Linked DNA regions of Sus scrofa. The protein of the gene in region 1 binds, or shares a complex with, the protein of each later gene. Links are inferred from orthologs where the notes say so. Each region holds a gene or a part of one and is shown on either strand. Other genes may lie near its edges. The genes, in order: PRMT5 and WDR77.

Region 1 (10,907 bases):
GGACATACAACCAGGAGCAGGTAGAACAACTGGGTCTGAAGGTGAGGAATGCTGGGTGTGGGTACTCCTTTCCTTCCAGAAAAGTTTCCAATGCTCCGCCCTGTTGGTCACCAGCTTTTGTTGGAGAAAATAACATTATTTCTTACCCATCATCTCCCTGTCTTCATCTCAGCAAAGGCCTGCATTCTATAATATAACAGTGATGGACATACTTTGGAGCACAAGAGTTCAGCATGAAGAGCAGAGCGGAGAGAAACAGAGCATAAGACAGACTCTACCGACTCTGGCTTTATGTCTAGGGCTAAGTCCTACAACAGGTTCTTTATTTCTTTTTCAGTCCTTCCCTCTGCTCGTCTGTAGCTCATATAGACAGACCCACAGTCCATGCTGTTCTTTAAGGCAAAGGAACATGCAATAGGACAGGTAGGGTGTGATGTGGTATGGAATTTCTCTGTTCAGCATCACGCTTGCCACACAGCGGAGGCAATTTTGAATGAAAAAACAAAGACATCCCAGACAAATGAAATTCAGCCCATCCAAACTTATTTTAAAGTCAGTTAGAAATTCTAGGCTCTTTTTACACAAATTCTTTTGAAAATTATTTTACTGATGGCAAAACTGACATTACCATTTCATAGATTTTCTTCTCTCCCTTTCATCCATGGATGGGTTAGTTAACAACCAACAGAGCAGCCACCAGCTTGACATTAGGAGGAAGATGCCAGGAGCACAGATGGTCCACAGCCCAGATAATTAGCTTCTGAAGACGAAACAACATCTAATAAGTCTTCTGTGAATGTGGAGTTTGGTTGGGCACAGTTGGGGGAGAGAAAAAGCAGGCCTGCCCAACAACTCTTTTTCTTCTTAAAATGTCAGAAGAGCACTCACCCACTTCCTGTTAAGTCCCTACTCATGAGACCTGCAGGGAAGAATTCAAATAAATATCGTAGACATTCCACCTCAAAGGAGGGGAAGAATAACTCCGCACTCCTTACGTGTGGAATGCACATAATGACTTCCAAAGAGTACAGGATGGAAAGGGGGAAGGCATGTAATTTTCCACTGGAGAGAACTGATAAACACTAGTTCTACCAGGTGATAAAGGTCAACATCAATAGTCATAAATCATGTTGATGGTATGTATTCTTGATATGACATGATGAAAATGGCACTTGAGCTCTGTGATCTTCCTCTCCCAAAACCATAACCTGAGTCTGATCATGAGAAAACCATCAGACAAATTCCAATAGAGGGCTGTCTTGCAGTAAACCTGACCAATACTACTCAAAACAATTAAGGTTGTCAAAAACAAGGAACATTTGGCAGTTCCTGCTGTGGCACATCAGAAACAAATCCAACTAGTATCCATGAGGATGCATGTTCAAACCCTAGCCTTGCCCACTGGGTTGGGGATTTGCCGTTGCCCTGAGCTGTGGTGTAGGATGCAGCTGGGGTTCAGATCCCGTGTTGCTGAGGCTGTGGCGTAGGCCAGCAGCTGTAGCTTCGATTCATCCCCTAGCCTGGGAGCTCCCATATGCCATGGGTGCGCTCCTAAAAAGCAAAAAACAAGGAACATTTGAGAAACTGTCATAGCCAAGAGGAGCCTAAGCAGACATGAGCAGATATGACAACTATATGTAACATGGTACCCTGGATGGGATCATGGAACAGAAAGAAGACATTAGGTAAAAATTAGGGAAATCTGAATAAACTATGGACTTCAGTTAATAATTATCAATAATAACATATCAAGAGTTCCCTGGTGGCTCAGCAGGTAAATGTACCATATTAACGTTAAGATGTTAATAATAGAGAAAGATGGGGGGGTGGAATGTGAGAACTCCTGTACTATCTCTGCAATTTTTCTGCAAATCTAAAACTTTTAAGAAAAAGTCTAGGAGGTGCCACTGTGGTACAGTGGGTTAAGAATCCAACTGCAGCGGTTCTGGTCACTTCAGAGGCATGGGCTGGATACCTGGCCTGGGAGGGAACTTCCATATACCTTTTTTTTTTTTTTTTTTTCCCATTAAAAAAGGAAAGAAAAAAAAGACAAATTCTAGTAATAGTAAGATGAGACACAAGCACCTCCAACTCTTTTAGGCTTCATAGGCATTTTCGTAGTTCTCTGACTTTCTGACTTTCATCCTTTTGGGGCGCTTACAATGTATTCCCTTATAGCTTAGCCTATCCACACACATTCCGTGTTTCTCAGGACTCTGTCGTCCACTGCGGCGATCTCATTCGGTCTCCTGGCTTCAGTCACTATCTCTCTTCTGGCGATTTGCAAATCTTGTCTGGTTCAGATCACTGTTCATACAACTCTCTATTACACAGCGCCCCCTAGACGTCCAAGTCAGCATTTCCAAACCCCAGCCTCGATTCTCCCTAAACCAGCTTTTATCATTTGTCTCGCTCAAAGAGGCCAGAACTCTGGGCATCACCCCCAGACTTCCCTTTCTCAGACTCCCTGTCAGTCGGTCTCTAAATTCTGTCAAGGCCTCCTGCCTAGGGCCTTTTGTATTGATTCTCTTTTCCGTTCCCCGCTGCCAAGTCCGCAACACCTCTGGGCTTCCTGCCTTCAGGTATTTCTCCTGCCTAGATCTTTTTTTGCTTCATTCCTTTCCTTCTTTTCCATCCCTCTAGCAAGCATGGAAAAGAAAAATGTAGAGACTCTTTCCTGTCTCTGCCAGTCAATTCATAACTTCTCTCCACTGTAATCTCTCACCATGAATTCCTTTATCTTCAGTGGTGTGTGTGTTTCAGTGTTTGCTTTTTGTATTTGAGATACCGAATCACAAGGAATTTGTGGCTGAATTGCCACAATCTGTTTAAAAATATACTAAGGCCCATTCAAAATCCATTTTAAGAGCACCAGCCATTAACTCAGTTTTCTTGGTGCATTTGGATGCACCAAGGCAGGGACACAAGAACCATCTTTGAACTAGGTATTATTAAACGCTGGCATGAAATAGTTGCAGAATGCAATAACATTAAGACCTGAAAATGAGAGCGAGAGAGGACAGCGAAGAAATTTTAAAAGGGGGCATTAAAGCATTGCAGGGGATGCACCAAAAGCGTTAGCCCCACCGAGCCAGCCAGGAGTCGAACCTGGAATCTTCTGATCCGTAGTCAGACGCGTTATCCATTGCGCCACTGGCCCTGAGACGACTTCTTCGTTCTCAATGATGACACTTCAAGCTTATACTGCAGGGTTTCATGGGACGTGTAGTCTCTTACCGGAATTTTACCAGTACATGAAGCATTATGGGAGATCGAAGTTTGTCGAGAACCAGACCCTGAGATTGGTGACTCTTCCGGAGCCGTGCCCTACGTCACTGTGCAGCCTGCGGATTGGCAGGAAGAGCCACTTCCCACCCCTCCTCCACTTGCTCGGGACCCTGGGAGACGCTTTGGTTGTCAGGGAGACTCGTCCCGCCTTCCGGGGGCTTTTTTTCGGCTTTGTGATTGGCTGCCAGTGTCAGGGAATCTCGGCGTGGACTGCGCGAGGGAAAAGATGGCGGCGATGGCGGTCGGCGGTGCCGGTGGAAGCCGCGTGTCCAGCGGGAGGGACCTGAATTGCGTCCCCGAAATAGCTGACACACTGGGGGCTGTGGCCAAGCAGGGGTGAGGGCCTGGACTTCCGCGAACAGAATGCGGGGTCGGAACTCGGGGACTGAGAGGGGCAGACCAGTCATCCCTGGGAAGCAGGGGTGAGGGGGTCGGAGTGGATAAGATTAGGGTGGGAGAAACCGCTAGTCCATGTAGGGAGAAGCCTCCGGCCCTGGAGCGTAAGAGAAAGAGAAAGAAAGACATATTGGGAACGTGTGGTCCCTGAACCCCAAAGTCGAGAGAGTTATCAGGTAAACTCAAAAAGAGGGCGTACGACCTCAAGGGCCCTGGAGAGCGAGGTGCGAGGTTCTTGTCTCAGAGTGGGAGGAAGTGTTATGGGGCTAGGGAGAGGAGAGATGAACCTTGAGGGCTGAAGCCTGGGTAGTACTGGAGCAGATCTGGATATGACAGTCTTGGAAAATCAGTGACAACAGAGTAGAAAGTCCACGTGGCGTGGATTTTCATCTTTTCTCTTTTCTCATCTTTTCCATGGCTCTGTTCTGGGAAGAAATTGAGGCACAACGCAGTGGAAGTGATATTCCCTAAAATGGGCCGAATTCAGCAGCCCATTCGAGTGACTGACTAATGGCAGCTGAAAGGGTTGTGCAGAATGGAGATAGCCTAGTCCAATTGCTTGGATCGCTGGGCACTGCTACTCTCTTTACATGACGATTCTGGGTCTGTCGTGGTTGTAGGTTTGATTTCCTCTGCATGCCTGTCTTCCACCCGCGTTTCAAGAGGGAGTTCACTCAGGAACCTGCTAAGAATCGGCCGGGTCCCCAGACACGATCAGACCTACTGCTGTCAGGAAGGGGTAGGGACCATCCCACATGCCCCTTAATTATTAGAGGCAGTAACAACTTATGTTTTATCAGTGCCTTCTTCCTCTTCCTTTCTTGACCTGGATGTATTTGTTCAACCCTGGGATATGGATAACTCTTGTTCTCTCCTTGCTTACTGCTCAAAGCCTTAGTTTCCTATTCTGCATCAGGCTTTCCTGTATCTGTGATAGAAAAAGCCTTTTGTCTCTCATCTCTACTATTCCCTGTTAAGAAATAGAAATTGAATGCATAAAGTGCTGAACCTCACTCAGTCTTTGTCTTTCTTGGGTTGGGGAGTGCAGACTGGAATACACTAATTGTGGGCAAGCTTTCCCCATGGATTCGTCCAGACTCAAAAGTGGAGAAGATCCGCAGGAACTCTGAGGCGGTAAGACTGACATCTTCACCGAATCTTTCTAAAGATCAGATCTGTAAACAACCTGGATGGGGAGAACAGATTTTTCCCCTCCATAACTTAGTAAATCTGATGTAATGCACTTAAAGCTGTTTGAGGAGTTCCCCTTGTGGCTTAGTGGTTAATGAATCAAACTAGCATCCAGTGGGGGAAAAAACTGTAACTGCAATGTATACATCTAAGGATGACCTGACCCCCTTGCTGTACAGTGGGAAAATAAAAAAAAAAAAAAAAAAAAAAAACTAGCATCCATGAGGATGAGGACAAGGGTTCAGTCCCTGGCCTTGCTCAGCGGGTTAAGGATCCGGCATTGCCGTGAGCTGTGGTGTAGGTTGCAGACATGGCTCAGGTCCTGAGTTGCTGTGGCTGTGGCGTAGGCCGGCGGCTTCAGCTCTGATTGGACCCCCAGCCTGGAAACCTCCATATGCCGTGGGTGCAGCCCTAAAGAGACAAAAAAAAAAAAAAAAAAAAGGTTGTTTGAGTTGCTAGCTCTTAACTTTGCCTCTTGTTCTCCATTCTAGGCTATGTTACAGGAGCTGAATTTTGGGGCCTATTTGGGTCTTCCAGCTTTCCTGCTGCCCCTAAATCAGGAAGATAACACAAACTTGGCAAGAGTTTTGACTAATCACATCCACACTGGCCACCACTCCTCCATGGTATGGCTGAGGGCCTCCTTTCCTGCTGCACATTATGGTAGTCAGGCTGTGCTAAATATCTTCTTTTCCTAGCCATTCAGTAAAGGGTGCATTAGGCAGAATTTAAATGTCAGTCCTGCCTACCCACAACTAAAAGTGGTAAGCAGAGACTTATAAAATACATAGCATATTCTATTATCTCCAGAAACTTATAATAAAGTAAAAGACAGGGCAGATACTTACATAAGGATGTACACGAGATACGTGTGCACATACATAAAATCACAATTGGGAAAAGCATGTAAGGGGATTAAGTTGAAATCTAGATCAAGATCTTTTTATTTATTTATGTTTAAGCTTTTTTTTTTGTCTTTTCAGGGCTGCACCTGTGGCACATGGAGGTTCCCAGGCTAGGAGTCAAATCAGAGCTGTAGCTGCCGGCCTACACCATAGCCACAGCAACGCCACATCTGAGCCGTGTCTGCGACCTACACCACAGCTCATGGCAACATCAGGTCCTTAACCCACTGAGGGAGGCCAGGGATCAAACCCACAATCTTAGCTCTTAGTGGTTCTTAGTCGGATTCGTTTCCCCTGTGCCATGACAGGAACTCCTGGATCAAGATCTTTTTAATTGAAAGAAGCTTCTGGACCCAATGAGTTCAAAATAGAGTTCTAAATAGGGCAGAGAGGTGTTTTCTTGTGGCGCAGTGGGTTAAGAATCTGGTGTTGTCGCTGTTGCGGCTTGGGTTATTGCTGTGGTGGGGTTTGATCCCCAGCCTGGACACTTCCACATGCCAAGGGCACGGCCAAAAATAAATTAATTAATTAATTAAGGTACAGAAGCTATTTATTGTTCATGTGCAGTTCTGGATGCGGGTGCCATTGGTGGCACCAGAGGACCTAAGAGATGATATAATCGAGAATGCACCAGCATCACACACAGAGGAGTACAGCGGAGAGGAGAAGACGTGGATGTGGTATGTCTCCTTCTGCTGCTGTGCCAGGGCAAAGGGTAGGGTGAGAGGAAGTACAGGGTGGGCCCTGCAGGAGGGTCTCCTTGAGGTATGGTGGTTGGTGGGCTATATATATTTGACTGTATTTTCCTGTGTTTGACTGAACAGGTGGCACAACTTCCGAACCTTGTGTGACTATAGCAAAAGGATTGCGGTGGGTAAGTCCATGAAGGTCCTGGCATAGGTTGTCCTTTGACCTTCTGTGATGAAGAATCGGGAATTTCGTGTATATGTGCTTGCTCCTTTCCCTGTGCCTCAGTCTGCCTTGTCTTGAGAAAAATAGATCTTGCACAAAAGAGCAAGGAGAGACTTCTGGCTTATCAGTGACTGACAGATATTTTCCCTTGTGTAGCTCTTGAAATTGGTGCTGACCTTCCATCTAATCATGTCATTGATCGTTGGCTTGGGGAGCCCATCAAAGCAGCCATTCTCCCCACCAGCATTTTCCTGACCAATAAGAAGGGATTTCCTGTTCTTTCTAAGATGCATCAGAGGCTGATCTTCCGACTCCTCAAGGTGTGTAGTAGAAAGGTTCTAAACGTGCTCCAGCTACTCTTCTTGCTGCCTTATTCACACATATATGTATGATGGATTTTTTTTTTTTTCTCTCTCTGTGGGGCTAACTCTTTTCCTTTCTAATTTCTGGAGAGCAATTTCAGCAAAGTTGGGGGTCTTGAGAGCAAAAAGACAAATAGCAGTAGGAGGCCCAGAAATATTTCAAAAGGAACCAGGTCTCATGAGAACTTTGCAGAAAGTTTCATTTAAGAAGTTACAACAAGGAGCCATGGGCCAGGATGATGCTTATGTGGCATAGGAGGGTTTGTGCTGCTTTTGTTGTTATTTGGAGGTATTTGTTGGACCAGAGAACTGCTGATCTGGGCCATATTTTATGCTAGAGCTCTTCGCCCACAAACCATAATAATATCCTCTTGGTTTAAAGATTGTGTCTGATGGTCTGACTTATCCTCGCAGTTGGAGGTGCAGTTCATCATTACAGGCACCAACCACCACTCAGAGAAGGAGTTCTGCTCCTACCTCCAATACTTAGAATACTTGAGCCAGAACCGACCTCCACCCAATGCCTACGAACTCTTTGCCAAGGGCTATGAAGACTACCTGCAGTCCCCACTCCAGGTGGGTCTGGAGTGCACTGAGAGGAGGGAGGTGGCGGACGGAAATGTCTCCTGAGAGCAGGTGCCTGAAAATCCTGACAAAGCTCAGGGAGCAGTGGGAAGGCTTTGGTACTCTGGTGCACTGTCCTTGCTAGAAACTGGCTCACTTACTTTCTCTTTTTCATTTCATCAGCCACTGATGGATAATCTGGAATCTCAAACATATGAAGTGTTTGAAAAGGACCCCATCAAATACTCTCAATACCAGCAGGTATAGTGTGGATCTCAGATTGGCTAGGATGACCTGGGTGAGGATGGCATTACAACCATGAGGTCTTTTCTCTTCCCCCAGGCCATCTATAAATGTCTATTAGACCGAGTGCCAGAGGAGGAGAAGGACACCAACGTCCAGTGAGTGCTCTCCCCATGAGCCCAGAGCTTTGCATGCCTGTGTCTCTATATGCCGAGTCAGCTTGACTCCTGTCTCTTTCATAGAGTGCTCATGGTGCTGGGAGCGGGCCGGGGGCCCCTGGTGAATGCCTCCCTGCGGGCAGCCAAGCAGGCTGACCGGCGGATAAAGCTGTACGCTGTGGAGAAGAACCCAAATGCTGTGGTGACGTGAGTAGCAACCTCCTTGTTGGCAAGTTTGTCCCCAGTGCCAGTTTTTCTTAGCTGTGTCCTCACTTGTATCATCTCTGTTTTAGGCTGGAGAATTGGCAGTTTGAAGAATGGGGAAGCCAGGTGACAGTAGTCTCCTCGGACATGCGGGAATGGGTGGCTCCAGAGAAAGCAGATATCATTGTCAGTGAGCTTCTGGGGTCCTTCGCTGACAATGAGCTGTCACCCGAGTGCCTGGATGGAGCCCAGCACTTCTTAAAAGGTGCCTCTAGGCTGGGGTGTATTGCATAAGGGGACTGGATTATCAGCTGGGAAGGTGGGAGCGGGTTGGGGAGGGATGGGTGTGGCAGTAGCCTAGAGGAAGCTGCAAGGTTTAGGGGAAGCGGGGAAGGCGGGTAGACTTGGGGCAGGAGCCTTAGCAAATGAAGCAGTCTCTCTGAACCTAGGTGTTCACGTCTGTAAGATGAGGGGAGGACCAGAGCAAAGACTCAATCTGAGGTCTGTGAACTCCCTGAGCTGACATGATATGTACCTTGGGCTTAGCTTTCATCAGGATCTCAGAGGACTTTGTATTAAGAGAGTTAAGAACCTCTAGACTAGAAGACCTTGGGTTCCTTCCAACTTTACTCTTGTGTGACTATAAATTAACCTAGAAGTGGAATCCCCCAGGACAAGGAGTAGGGAGCAGGTCGGCCTGAGAATGTGACAACACGAAACTGCTTGAGTCTTTTGATGTGGGAGGTCTGGGCCTTCACTGAGTACAGATACACTGTTTCTAGCCCTTGGGAAGTAATGTGACCTTCTGCTCTGCAGATGATGGCGTGAGCATCCCTGGGGAATACACCTCCTTTCTAGCTCCCATCTCCTCCTCCAAGTTGTACAATGAGGTTCGAGCCTGTCGGGAAAAAGACCGTGACCCTGAGGTGAGGCCACTCTCTTCTTCTTCTTCTTCTTTTTTTTTTTTTTGGCCATACCTGCGGCATGCAGAAGTTTTCAGGCCAGGGATCAAAACGAAGCCACAGCGGTGACATTGCTAGATCCTTAATCCACTGAGCCAACAGGGAGCCATTCTCTCTTGGAGGACTCTTCTCTCTTTAGTCCCTTTCTTTTTCTATATTAGCATAACTGTTTTCTTCCACTGGAGAAGATGAAGAGGTGAAGGAATAGTCGGGGATGTGGGAAAATAGTGGAAGTGGAACTATGTTGTGATCTTTAGTCCCCGAAGCTGGAGCTGTAGTCCCTGAGGTAATGAGTAGCCCTTGCCTGTCTTCTCCAGCTCTTGCTCTCTCTCTTGGGACAGGCCCAGTTTGAGATGCCTTATGTGGTACGGCTGCACAACTTCCACCAGCTCTCTGCTCCCCAGCCCTGTTTTACCTTCAGCCACCCCAACAGAGGTGGGTTCCTACATGGCTGTCCTCTGATGGGAAGGGTGAGAGGTTGCCCTCCTGGTTTCTTCCCTTGCTGTCCTGGGTCTGCTCTATCCGGCCTCTATCTAGGCTTCCTTTCCTGATCCTGCTCATGCTTTACCGAGAGGTCTATGGCATCTGGCCCCTCTTCACCCACACAGCTCTTCCCTGACAGATCCTATGGTTGACAACAACCGGTACTGCACCTTGGAGTTTCCTGTGGAGGTGAACACAGTGCTGCATGGCTTTGCAGGCTACTTTGAGACGGTGCTTTATCAGGACATCACTCTGAGTGAGTGTCTAGGGCAGTGGATGGGGTATAAGGGTATGCTACCTGGGCAGCTTATGTACATGTTTCTTTAAGAGTAATAGGAATCAGTGAATGGGGATCTTTGATTATTTGTTCTGTGTTCACAGAAGACACTTCTCAGCCAAGGCAAAAAGCAGAGTCACAGAGATCTCAATTTTTAAAATGACTTTGTCCACTTAGGTATCCGTCCAGAGACTCACTCCCCTGGGATGTTCTCATGGTTTCCCATCCTCTTCCCCATTAAGGTAAGAATCACTTTTAAGGCTCCTTGGTTAAAGGGTAACTGCTGTCTTTGGTGTTTTGCCTCTTCCTTTCTGCCAGAACGATGCTTGACCATGACCCTTGTTCTGTTGCTCTCGTGCTCTTGGATCCTGTTGCAGATGTTGGGCTATCTGCAATGGCCTTCCACCTGGCTTTCCCACATCTGCTCTGGCTATTCTTCTCTCTGTTCTCCACCTCAGGAAAGAGTCAGTCTTTTTAAAAAAGTGAATCAGATCATATCTGTCTCCTTTTTTTTCTTTTGTCTTTTTGCCTTTTCTAGGGCCACTCCTGCAGCATATGGAGATTCCCAGGCTAGGAGTCTAATTGGAGCTGTAGCCGCTGGCCTACACCAGAGCCACAGCAACGTGGGATCTGAGCCGCGTCTGTAACCCATACCACAGCTCATGGCAACACCGGATCCTTAACCCACTGAGCAAGGCCAGGGATCGAACGTGCAACCTCATGGTTCCTAGTTGGATTCGTTAACTACTGTGCCACTACGGGAACTCCATCTGTCTCCTATTTTAAAACCTTTCAATATCTTCTGCACTGATGTGAAGATAAAGGTCTTACATCCTTGGGAGTTCCCATTGTGGCTCAGTGGTAATGAACCTGGCTAGTATCCATGAGGACGTGCGTTTGATTCCTGGCCTCACTCAGTGGTTTAAGGATCTGGCATTGCTGTGAGCTGTGGTGTAGGTCAG
Region 2 (9,901 bases), on another chromosome or scaffold:
AATTGCTGTCTTGGTGTAATCCAAGCTTATTTCCCCCCCCCACCCACCCACAACAGGTGCTGTTGAATTGTGGGAGCTGGATGAGAATGAGACACTCATTGTCAGCAAGTTCTGCAAGTATGAGCACGATGACATCGTGTCTTCAGTCAGTGTCCTGAGCTCTGGCACACAAGCTGTCAGTGGTAGCAAAGACTTCTGGTGGGTCCCTGATCTCATCACTCCTGTGCCTAGGCCTCCTTTGTGTGTCTTTAGTATCATGTTCGTTTCATTAACCAACATTTTAGACTCATTATAAGGACCTAGTGACTAATGATGGCATTAGAGATATTGCAGTCCACTGTAAACGTAGACCCATAACAGAAATCCAGGAGGCGAAGACATAGGATGTGTCAGTTAAGTGAAGTTCCCGAGAGCTGCAGTCAGGTCCTTAACCAGTTGCACCACAGCAGGAACTCCCTCGAAGTTCTTATTTGAATGCAATTTTTTAATGTAGGTGGTGTAGGTCAAAATTAAGTCTCTGATTCCTTTTGCTTCTTAGCATCAAGGTTTGGGACCTTGCTCAGCAGATGGTTCTGAATTCATACCGAGGTGAGTGCATGTTCTTTCCTTTTCAGTCCTGGCCTTGGCCGTTTTGTTTTTATTCTTCCCTTTGTGCTTTTTGAACGTTGCTTGGATGTTAATAAATCAATTCTTTGCTTTCCTGCCTGGTAGTTTTCTTCCAAAATGGTGGTCAGGCCCCACTGTTGATCCTTGCCCCTTAATTTCTCTATTTTTATTGACAGCCTCACCACCTTCTTGGCCACCAGTGGCTCAAACTCCCAGTCCTCTCCTACTCCTCCTGTTTCCCACTATCAGTTGGTCCCCAGGTCCTTTGGAGTGTTTTTTTCATTTGGTCCATGACCTTTTCCATTTCTTATGCCCCCTTTTACTTACAGGCTTCACACAGACAGTGGCATTTATCTCATCTCTCTACCTGTAATCTTTGGTCTTTCATTGATTTCTTGCGACTTACAGATTACAATCCTATGTTTATGTCATGGTGTTCGGGCTTTTTTTCACTGTGACTCTCCTTCAAGCATACCATGCTAGCTAAACCCAGTCACAGTAGATCTTTGACATTCCCCAAGCATAAACTCTGATGCTTGTGAATCTTGAACTTTTGAATATTCACCTCCATAAAATCTCTCTTTCTCTCTCTCTTTTTTTTTTTTTTTTTTTTTTTTGGTGAGAACCATCCCTTATGTTTCTTTTTCTGCTCACCTTAATGAATAGCACTGGCAGTTGATTTTATTTTGAGAGCCATCTTCATGAAGATACCAAATCTTTTTTTTTTTTTTTTGGTCTTTTTAGGGTCACACCCACAGCGTATGGAAGTTCCCAGGCTCAGGGTCGAATCATCAGCAACGCCAGATCCGAGCTGCATCTGTGACCTACGCTGTGGCTTGAAGCAATGCCGGATCTTTAACCCACTGAGCGAGGCCAGGGGTTGAACCCGCTTCTTCCTGGTTACTAGTCAGGTTCACTGCTGCTGAGTCATGACAGGAATTCCTACTGAAGATAGTATCTAGAGCATTAATGTGTGTGTGGCTAAGTGATGTAGATGGGGTGATTGATCACTGGTTCCCTCAATGGCTAAGTGCCTTTCTTTGCCAGTTCTCACTGCTAAGTGCATGATTCAGATATGTTGGGAGCAAAATCACAAACTCATCCGTCTCTTGGAGCTTCAGAGCATATATTTAGACAATAATGTTCGAATGTCAGTGCTCAAAGTCTGACATACTTACTTTGTGTTTTCTAGATGTACAGCGTGTTTTCCTGGTCAGTGCTAAGGAACTTTTTCATTGCCTGCCACCTTTAGCCTTTTTCTTTAGTTCTTTGTGTTTGTTCTTACTCTCTTGCGCTGATTCCAAATCCCTCCAGGGCAGAGGAACCACATATCTTTTCATCTTTGTACTTTCCCATTGCGTTTGTCCCAAAACTTTGCTGTTTTTAAGGAGCAGTATGTTGCTTTTCATCATGTTGCTTTTGCATGGATTCTCTGGAGGATGGTTTGAGGCCCCCCTCTTCCGTACCTGGGCGGAACCACATTCAGACTATCTCAGAAAGTCTGGTTAGTTGCTTTAGAGAAGGTGGTTTCCACAGCCTTTAATTAACACTTAGCATTGACCTTGAACATTTTTAGCCTGTAGCCCTAAGGGAGTCTTGAAAAACTGTACCCTTTCACATGTTTTTAAAGTGGTTTCTAGTTTAAATTGAGCTCATCGCAAAGAAAGTTGTATCTAGCCGTGCCATTTACGGTACACTTTTTCAAAATATGTTTGTCAGAATTTTGGATTTTCAGATTAAGCTCATTTGATTTATGTAAAAAATCTACCAAATAACCTAACTGCCAAAAACCAACTGTGTGTTAAAGTTGGCCAAGTGAGACTTGAGCACTTTTCTTGAAAAATCTGACACTTCGTTTTTAAATTCGTATGGACCTGTTAGGTGTCTTTATGTGACCACATGCCATATTTTTCAAAATTCTCATTATTAAACAGAAGAGATAAGCCACAGAACCACTCTAGGATTTGTGATGGGGATGAGAAAGGCCAGCTTCCCCCACCGAATTTTACCCAGATGCCCTTTCTTTTTTGGTCAGCTCTTCGGGCAAGCCCCTTTTGTTTTCTACCTTAGGTTTCTAGACTCCTGAGCATCGTAGCATGGTGGGCTTGGGGCGGGTGAGAGGTGCGTGTTTCCTTCGCACGGTGGGAGACGGGTGACTGAGGGCAGAGGTGAGCAGTGCTGGCAGCCTCTACATAGTGTCTCAGTTCAATGTGGAGAGAGAGCCTTGGAGCCATTCCCTCTAAACTCTCGGTGTCCAGAGCTCCCTCAGAAGTCTTCGTATGCGCCTGGAGGCACATAGGCCTCTGCTCTTCCACGGTCCTTGCTGTAAGTTCCCCTACTGTTTTTACCCAGCCTTTAATTTATCTTTCATGTCTGTAGTGATTCATTTTTCCCGAAGCCTTTTGAGGTTTTATAATGCTATCAACATTTCCTCTTAGGTTTTGTCTTATCCCAAACGCTCACGGAATTTGTTACATGGCATCACACGACTAGGCTTGTTTCTCACAGCCTCCCTCCTACCCCTTGATAGTGTCTGGACTGCCTCCATTTCTCCGTCGTATTTCTTGTTCTCTCTCCTCTGCAGCTCACTCTGGGCAGGTCACCTGTGTTGCTGCCTCTCCCCACAAAGACTCCGTGTTTCTCTCCTGCAGTGAGGTGAGCTAAAGCCTCTTTTCCCCTTCCCGCCCCCTAAGCGCACCCAGACCCTGTGGACCTCAGTCAGGTGTGGAGGGCTTCCGGCGAGCGGCTGCTTCCTTGGATCGTGAAGCCCTTTTTCTGTCCCTTTTTCTTCTAGGACAATAGAATTTTACTTTGGGATACTCGCTGTCCCAAGCCAGCGTCACAGATAGGTGAGTCTGAGAGCCGGTGGTGGGAGAGTGAACAAGGACCGAGTTCTCCCAGGAGCCCACCTGGAAGAGGCTTTCCTGGGCCAGAGTCAAGGGCGAAGGCGGCCCAGTCACTGACCCAATGGCATAATTGCTCTCCTACCCACTGCAGCTCTGTTGAGCCAGTTGATGCCGTGGGTCCCACAAGGAAGGGCTGGTTCCTAGGTGGGCGATGTACCTTATGTTGCCTGGATGAGGGAACGAAGGGGCCAGAGTTGTTCTCTTCCTGCTTTATCATTGAAACTTGCCCGTGACTCATGTCTGGCAGGGGCAGGAGGCTGATGGGGAGGTGCAGGTTGTGAGGGTCAAGGAGGAGAACAGACGGCCCTGGCAGGACTCACGATACCGAATAGGGTGCCGCCGGGATTTAGAGTGACTTCACCCGAGCAGCTTTGTCTCAGACCCTTCTTCTCCCCTTTGCAGGCTACAGGGCCTCTGGCTACCTGCCTACCTCGCTGGCTTGGCATCCTCAGCGGAGTGAAGTCTTTGTCTTTGGTAAGGCAGCGTGTGAAACTGTGGGACGACTCTGGGAAGGGGAGGATGAGCGAGAGAGCCCTGGCTGCCCACTCTGCCCACTTGGGCACTAGATGAGTTGTGCTCATGGGGGCGGGGAGGCGGAATGATCCGAAAGTGGTTTTGGTTTAGCTTTGGAGAACACGATGATTTTTTTCTTAGTAGATTTGACTCCTGATTGTCTGCTGTGGCTCTTGTGTTCTGGCATAGCTGGAAGTCAGGGGCCACAAAGCGAGTGGATTGTTACAGGGGGATTCTGTTGTGTGGAGGGGGTGGTGGTGCTGACGTGCCGACGTGGCTGTGCCTGTAGGTGCATAGTTTGTAGGAACCTAACAACTATGTCATCGAATAACCTAATAACTATAATTAACCCTGTTAATTTAATTTTCACAACCCCTAGATGACTAATCATTTCTACTTTACCAAAGAGGAAATTGATGCTTAGAGTGGTGAACTTGTCCAAGATTGAGGAACGAGCATCCAAATCCAGGCCTGGCTGAGTCCAAAGCCCATGCTCTTACCTCTGTGATGTCCCCCCTCTTTCCTTCAGGCGATGAGAATGGGACCGTCTCCCTTGTGGACACCAAGAGTGCAAGCTGTGCCCTCAGCGCAACTGTGCACTCCCAGAGTGTCACCGGGCTGGTGTTCTCTCCACACAGGTACTGTTCTTTGTCGTCGAGGGCCTGGCGGGTGTAAATGGGAACAGTGAGGGGAGATGCCTGTGTCGGCGGAGCACTGGCCGACTGGGTAGTTCCTTAAAGCAGGCACTGTTGTAGCTGAGCTTTCGGAATCTCAGTGAGGGGGCTCTTAACACTGCAGTCCTTTTGGGGGTTGTATGGTCTCTGACTGCAAATGGCTGAAATTCGGTGTTGTTCCTGCTCAACACCCACAGTGACTAATATTGTGGGCTTCTAGGGCTGTGTGGTTGGAAGTTGTTTCTGGGTTATTGATGAAGCTGTGGGGAGGGACCCAGTGAGAAGGTTAGTTGCTGGGATGCTTCTCAGCCCTGGCTTTGCTCCCTTTTCCTCATCTGTCTTTGAAACGTATACTGTAGACTTAGGTGTAGCCAGACCTTAGCCTTAAGTGGGGTTAGGCCAGCTGCTCCGATCACTTTAGAGTCGGGGTCTGGGGGCCAGTGAGGTTTTGCATTGGGGCCTGTGGGCTTTACCTCCCCCCGCCACCCCCTTGTCTCCTAGCACTCCCTTCCTGGCTTCTGTGAGTGAAGACTGCTCCCTCGCCGTGCTGGACTCGGGCCTCTCCAAGGTGTAAGTGTGACGTGGAATCCTGTGATCGGGAAGCAGGGCGGGGAGCAGCCGCTGGCTGGGTCCTTTTTCTCTTTGGAAAAGTGTATTGTCTCTTTCCACGGGACCGGGTGATGGAAGCAGGCTTGACTGTCTCCCTTGTTCGGGGCTGACTCACAACCAGCTCTGTCCCTGGCAGTGGGGGAAGGTGGTGGGGTTGGGATTTCCGAGTCTGGCCTTCCAGCTGTCTCCCAGAAAGGGGCAGTCTACCCTCCTCATGTGAAGAGCTACACGCAGGCAGTGCAGCGTGCTGTAGGGCGAAAGGCACCAGGCAGAGATTGGAATTGCACTTCCTTCTTTGCTGTGGTCCGCTGTCTGATGCTGACTTGTGTCATTACCTTTACTCTGGCTCTCATTTCTTCTATGAAAATCGGGCCCTGGATTGGACTGTAACACATCCACAGGACGTGCCCTGGGGTGTCGGGTCCGTTTCTTGGTCCCTCCTGTCTCTCTTACGTGCCCACACTTTTCTTTTTTCTCTTGTAGGTTTAGAAGCCGAGCCCACAGAGACTTTGTGAGAGATGCTACCTGGTCACCGCTCAATCACTCCCTTCTTACGACAGTGGGCTGGGACCATCAGGTCGTCCACCACATCTTGCCCACAGAACCTTTCCCAGAGCCTGGACTTAAGAGTGCTGCCGAGTAGACTGGATTTAAGACAAGCAAATCCCCCATGAGTATCTGCTCCCTCTGCCCCTGCCCACTCAGTTTGTGAGACAACACAGGAGCCTTATATAGTGTGTTGACACACCAGATCTGTTAATAGGCATTGTCTCTCAGCCTGGGGGAGGCTGGATCTGGGGTCCTGTAGTCACAGAGAAGAAAAACTTCCTTGAAGATGGACGTGTGTGTATGTGTCTGAGTGTATGTGTAGATAACATAATTTTTTTAGCAGAGATGAATAAAAAAAAATGCATCCCGCATCTTCCCCAAGATCTAACCCCCCTCCCCCCACAAGAAGTTGGCAGAAGGTTTTTATGCCTCCCATGTAGCTATGCTTGAGGAATTGACTGTGTCTTGGTAAGGTCTGGGCTGTGGGCATTGCTGGATTCTTGGAAGCAGCTCGTGACTCGTCATAGAGATAGGAGCACCTTTATTTTTTTAATAGAGCTTGATTCGCCTTTGTCATGGGCAGTGCTTCCATTCACAGAAGTCCGGCCCAGCTCACCTTGAGGAAGAGCCAGGACACTTAACATGGTTTTGCACATCTCTTTGCCATTAGACTGAGCCGAAGTCCAGTTGCTGGCTGAGTAAGAAGTGTGTGATGCCCACCCCCCGTGAAGTTGTGTATATGAGAGATGAGTGTATTTCTGTCATAGATGCCATGGGAAAAAGTTTCAGGAAGGTGGAGAGCTTAAAGGCACTTCAGTTAAAAACTGACACAGACTTTCATAGGAATGTCTGCCACTTTCCCACCTGAAAACAGCCTGGGGCCTGACCTTTTTTGCCTCTGGGTCCCTGCCTCTGGATCTAGGAAGCCTGAATGTTATTTTGGGGAACTCTGAAGATTTTAAATGCAGCAAGAGAGAGAGAGAATCGGAAATACTGGTCAGTGAAATAAAAAGTTGATTCATTGTTGGCCTGTCTTTTGAGGTGTGTGTCTCATGTGCAGTTAGACCTGTGTCACTTATGTGTCATCTGGGTACCAGTCCTATAGCCCGTTATTTTTTGTGTGTGCTTCCCCAGCCCCACGGAGTAGTTGGAACTTAAGGCAAACGTTTGGTTATTTGGTTGGTGGCTACTGCCGCTTAGAAGTTATGGGTCAATTACTGATTGCATTGAAACTAAATGCAATCAGCTATGTACTTTTGTGCTTTCCAAGTTTCATTTAGTGAAAATCCCATGAAACCGCCCCAGTTTCATGGGCAAAGTATTGGTAAGTAAAGCTTCTGTGTTCCACCCTTGCTGAGCACGAGCTCTATTCTCACAGTTACCCTCTAGTAAAAACAGGGCAATTTGTAGTCAGTGGATCTGTCTACTGGGTTTGCGGGGAGGTAGGAAGGAAGCTTCACTGTTCTTAACTCTAACTCCCTGGGAAGAATTGGTGCTTTGGTAGAAACACTTCCCAGAGGCAAAAGCTTAAAATTTGTGGTCATTTACAGAAAGGAGGTAGGGGGTGAGGTGAGTAGGAATTAAACCTGCATTGGCCTGTTGTTCATGGACTTCAGAATGGTGGAGAGAAACTCAGAAGAGACGAATTCAAGGAAACCAGTGCTAGTCTGTCAAGGTGCTTAGAGTGACATCGAAGGAGGAAAACCTAAGTTTTTGAAGAACCACGTTACTTAATTTAAAAAATGTTAGTTTGGATTCAGATCTGGGCTGATGAAGGCAATTCACATCGATTAGTGATGGCCACCAAGACATTTGTAAAACTAATTGAAGTCACAGTAGGAATGACCATCACAATTTTGGTTAAATATCTCTCTTGTGAGAAAAAAGCTGGTTCAAGATAAAAGACGACCTCCAAATAATCAGAAATGTAGCATCACATGTAGGATTATTCACAGACCCTTGATTTGAGAGTAGTTTCAGTAGAGTGAGCAGACTTCCCCTGTGACGGGTGGAAATGGGCTCCTTTTTTTTTTTTTTTTTTTTTTTTTTGGTTTGTTTGAAGTCATACAAGCGTGTATTCTCCATTTAGTTTCACTCGTTCCAATGTCTGAGCACCAGGGAGTAGACCCATTTCCCTATCTTCATTGTTCTTACTCTAAAATCCATTAACCAGACCCATGATGTTCCCCTGCTGATTTCAGGTGCTCAGAACACCAAAGGCTGAGGTTGGCTCAAGTGCAGTTGCAGGTGGCTCCAGACATCAGGCTGCTTCTCCAGGGTCTCTCCTGCCCCGCAGAACAGTAGGAGGCTGGTCATTAATTACCAGCTACGTGAGCATTTCCTGCTGATTTACAATCGCACTATTGGCAGCAAAATCACCCAAGCTCTGAGTGCTCTGGGCTTCTAGCCATGTTTGTTCTAGGCTGCATGATAGAAAGGGCTGGAACTTGGGAAGATTTAGGTGGGAGGGTCCCTGCAGTTTATTTTTCAATCACGCAGCTACAGAGTGATTACCTCATCCAGACCTAAAAGAAAAGGGCTCTGACTTTTAAAAGGCAGATTCTTGTTGCATTTGGACAGCACAAATGATGTGCTTTCATATTTTTTTTTGTGTTTCAGTGGTCACTTGACTCAACTCTAGCTACAAACTAGAAGAATGGGAAAAAAAGATTTGTTCCAGAATATATGAGCATTTCTTTCACTAAGGCATATACCAAGTGTTTCTATGTATTCCGGGGCAGTTTTAGGACATCAAAGAAAAGCCAGCATACATGAAAGAAGCTGAGCGAATTCTTATTGGATCTCCGTTCATAGCAAGTTTCTTAGCTGCATATCTCTGGGTCACACTGAACTTAAGAATCACTCGTGCAGGAAACAGATTTTTTTTGGAAAAAAGATAAGCAAGCTCTAGTCTAGTTTCACAATTTGCGTTGTGAGGGAATTCAAATTTTCGAGAACATCAGCTTTCTATATAGCTTGATTTTGGGAAAGTAAGCAGACCAATCTTAAACCCAAAACAGTCTCTTATTGAGTTCTCTATCAAAAAATGGGCAGTTGTGGAGTTTTTCTTCCTCATCACGGGGTCACAGGATTAGTACAATCCAGAGAGTGACGGAGATGTAAAGATCAAGAGAGGAAGCAATAACTCATTGTAAGTAATAGAGGCACGTAAGATATAATCATTGATCCTAAAATCTTTCATCATCTGGGTAAGTTTTAATGCAGTTCTACTTATTCTGGAAACCCTCCTTGTCTTGTAAATGTTCTGCTGCCTCAGTGTATAGTATAATAAATCATCAAAATTCAAAAGATCAGTAAATAAAGAGTTTAACCCCTAAACACCATCCTTTTAACTTTATAGTGGCAGCCTAGCCAGTGCTACTTGTTGAAAGTTCCCTCAGTGAATAAAGACATTTCATTATCACTGTGGTGCTGGGTGTCAGATTCTGGAATATTTCACTTTGGGAGGCACCATGTTATAAGCAATAGGAACTTCAGTTTCAAATTAAAAGTTTTTACTCCAATAATAAATCTCATCTGGGATCACAGTGGAAAGGAATGAAGCTTATTTGGATTAGAAAGTGTTTTTTACATGTACAAGCTAAATCAGCTTCAAGTTCTGCCAGATCTTTTAACAAGCAACTTGTCTTTTATAGAAACCCTCTGAGTAGGTTAGAAACTGGCTGATCAGTACAGGCCCCTGATCATTATCCAAAATCAACTTGCCTGGAAGTTAATATTAACACTACCTGACCTTGGCACCTGCCATCCCTGGGCTCCTATTGGCAGATTCCTCATGGCAGGATCAACTTGAGCCTTAGTTATCTCTTTCTGTTTTTTTTTTTTTTTTTTAGGCATGACAAAATATTTAAACTTACCATTTTAACTATTTTAAGTGTACGATTCAGTGGCATTAAGTATACTCACATTGTAATGTAATCATTTCCACACTCCATTATCCCAAATTGAAACTTCATGCCGGTTAAGCAATAACTCCCTCCTCCCAGGCTCTGACAACCTCCATTCTACTTTCAGCTCTATGAA

Evidence for each region.
Region 2: PRMT5 (region 1) and WDR77 share a complex: the UniProt entries of both Homo sapiens proteins name them as parts of the methylosome complex. The link is inferred for Sus scrofa from reciprocal best matches to the Homo sapiens genes PRMT5 and WDR77.

What each region holds. Positions count from the first base shown.
Region 1 is NC_010449.5:76,107,496-76,118,402, forward strand, and holds the start of PRMT5 (protein arginine N-methyltransferase 5), read left to right. Parts: upstream 1-3,509; 5' UTR 3,510-3,514; coding exon 3,515-3,624; exon of another isoform or gene 3,625-3,860; intron 3,861-4,304; coding exon 4,305-4,423; intron 4,424-4,732; coding exon 4,733-4,818; intron 4,819-5,366; coding exon 5,367-5,501; intron 5,502-6,347; coding exon 6,348-6,460; intron 6,461-6,604; coding exon 6,605-6,654; intron 6,655-6,848; coding exon 6,849-7,012; intron 7,013-7,468; coding exon 7,469-7,630; intron 7,631-7,801; coding exon 7,802-7,879; intron 7,880-7,960; coding exon 7,961-8,019; intron 8,020-8,103; coding exon 8,104-8,226; intron 8,227-8,312; coding exon 8,313-8,488; intron 8,489-9,039; coding exon 9,040-9,149; intron 9,150-9,526; coding exon 9,527-9,620; intron 9,621-9,807; coding exon 9,808-9,924; intron 9,925-10,122; coding exon 10,123-10,187; intron 10,188-10,907. UniProt on the Homo sapiens protein: Arginine methyltransferase that can both catalyze the formation of omega-N monomethylarginine (MMA) and symmetrical dimethylarginine (sDMA), with a preference for the formation of MMA.
Region 2 is NC_010446.5:108,908,704-108,918,604, forward strand, and holds the end of WDR77 (methylosome protein 50), read left to right. Parts: intron 1-56; coding exon 57-198; intron 199-538; coding exon 539-588; intron 589-3,190; coding exon 3,191-3,261; intron 3,262-3,400; coding exon 3,401-3,455; intron 3,456-3,914; coding exon 3,915-3,986; intron 3,987-4,554; coding exon 4,555-4,663; intron 4,664-5,200; coding exon 5,201-5,269; intron 5,270-5,791; coding exon 5,792-5,951; coding exon of another isoform or gene 5,952-5,982; 3' UTR 5,983-6,891; downstream 6,892-9,901. UniProt on the Homo sapiens protein: Non-catalytic component of the methylosome complex, composed of PRMT5, WDR77 and CLNS1A, which modifies specific arginines to dimethylarginines in several spliceosomal Sm proteins and histones.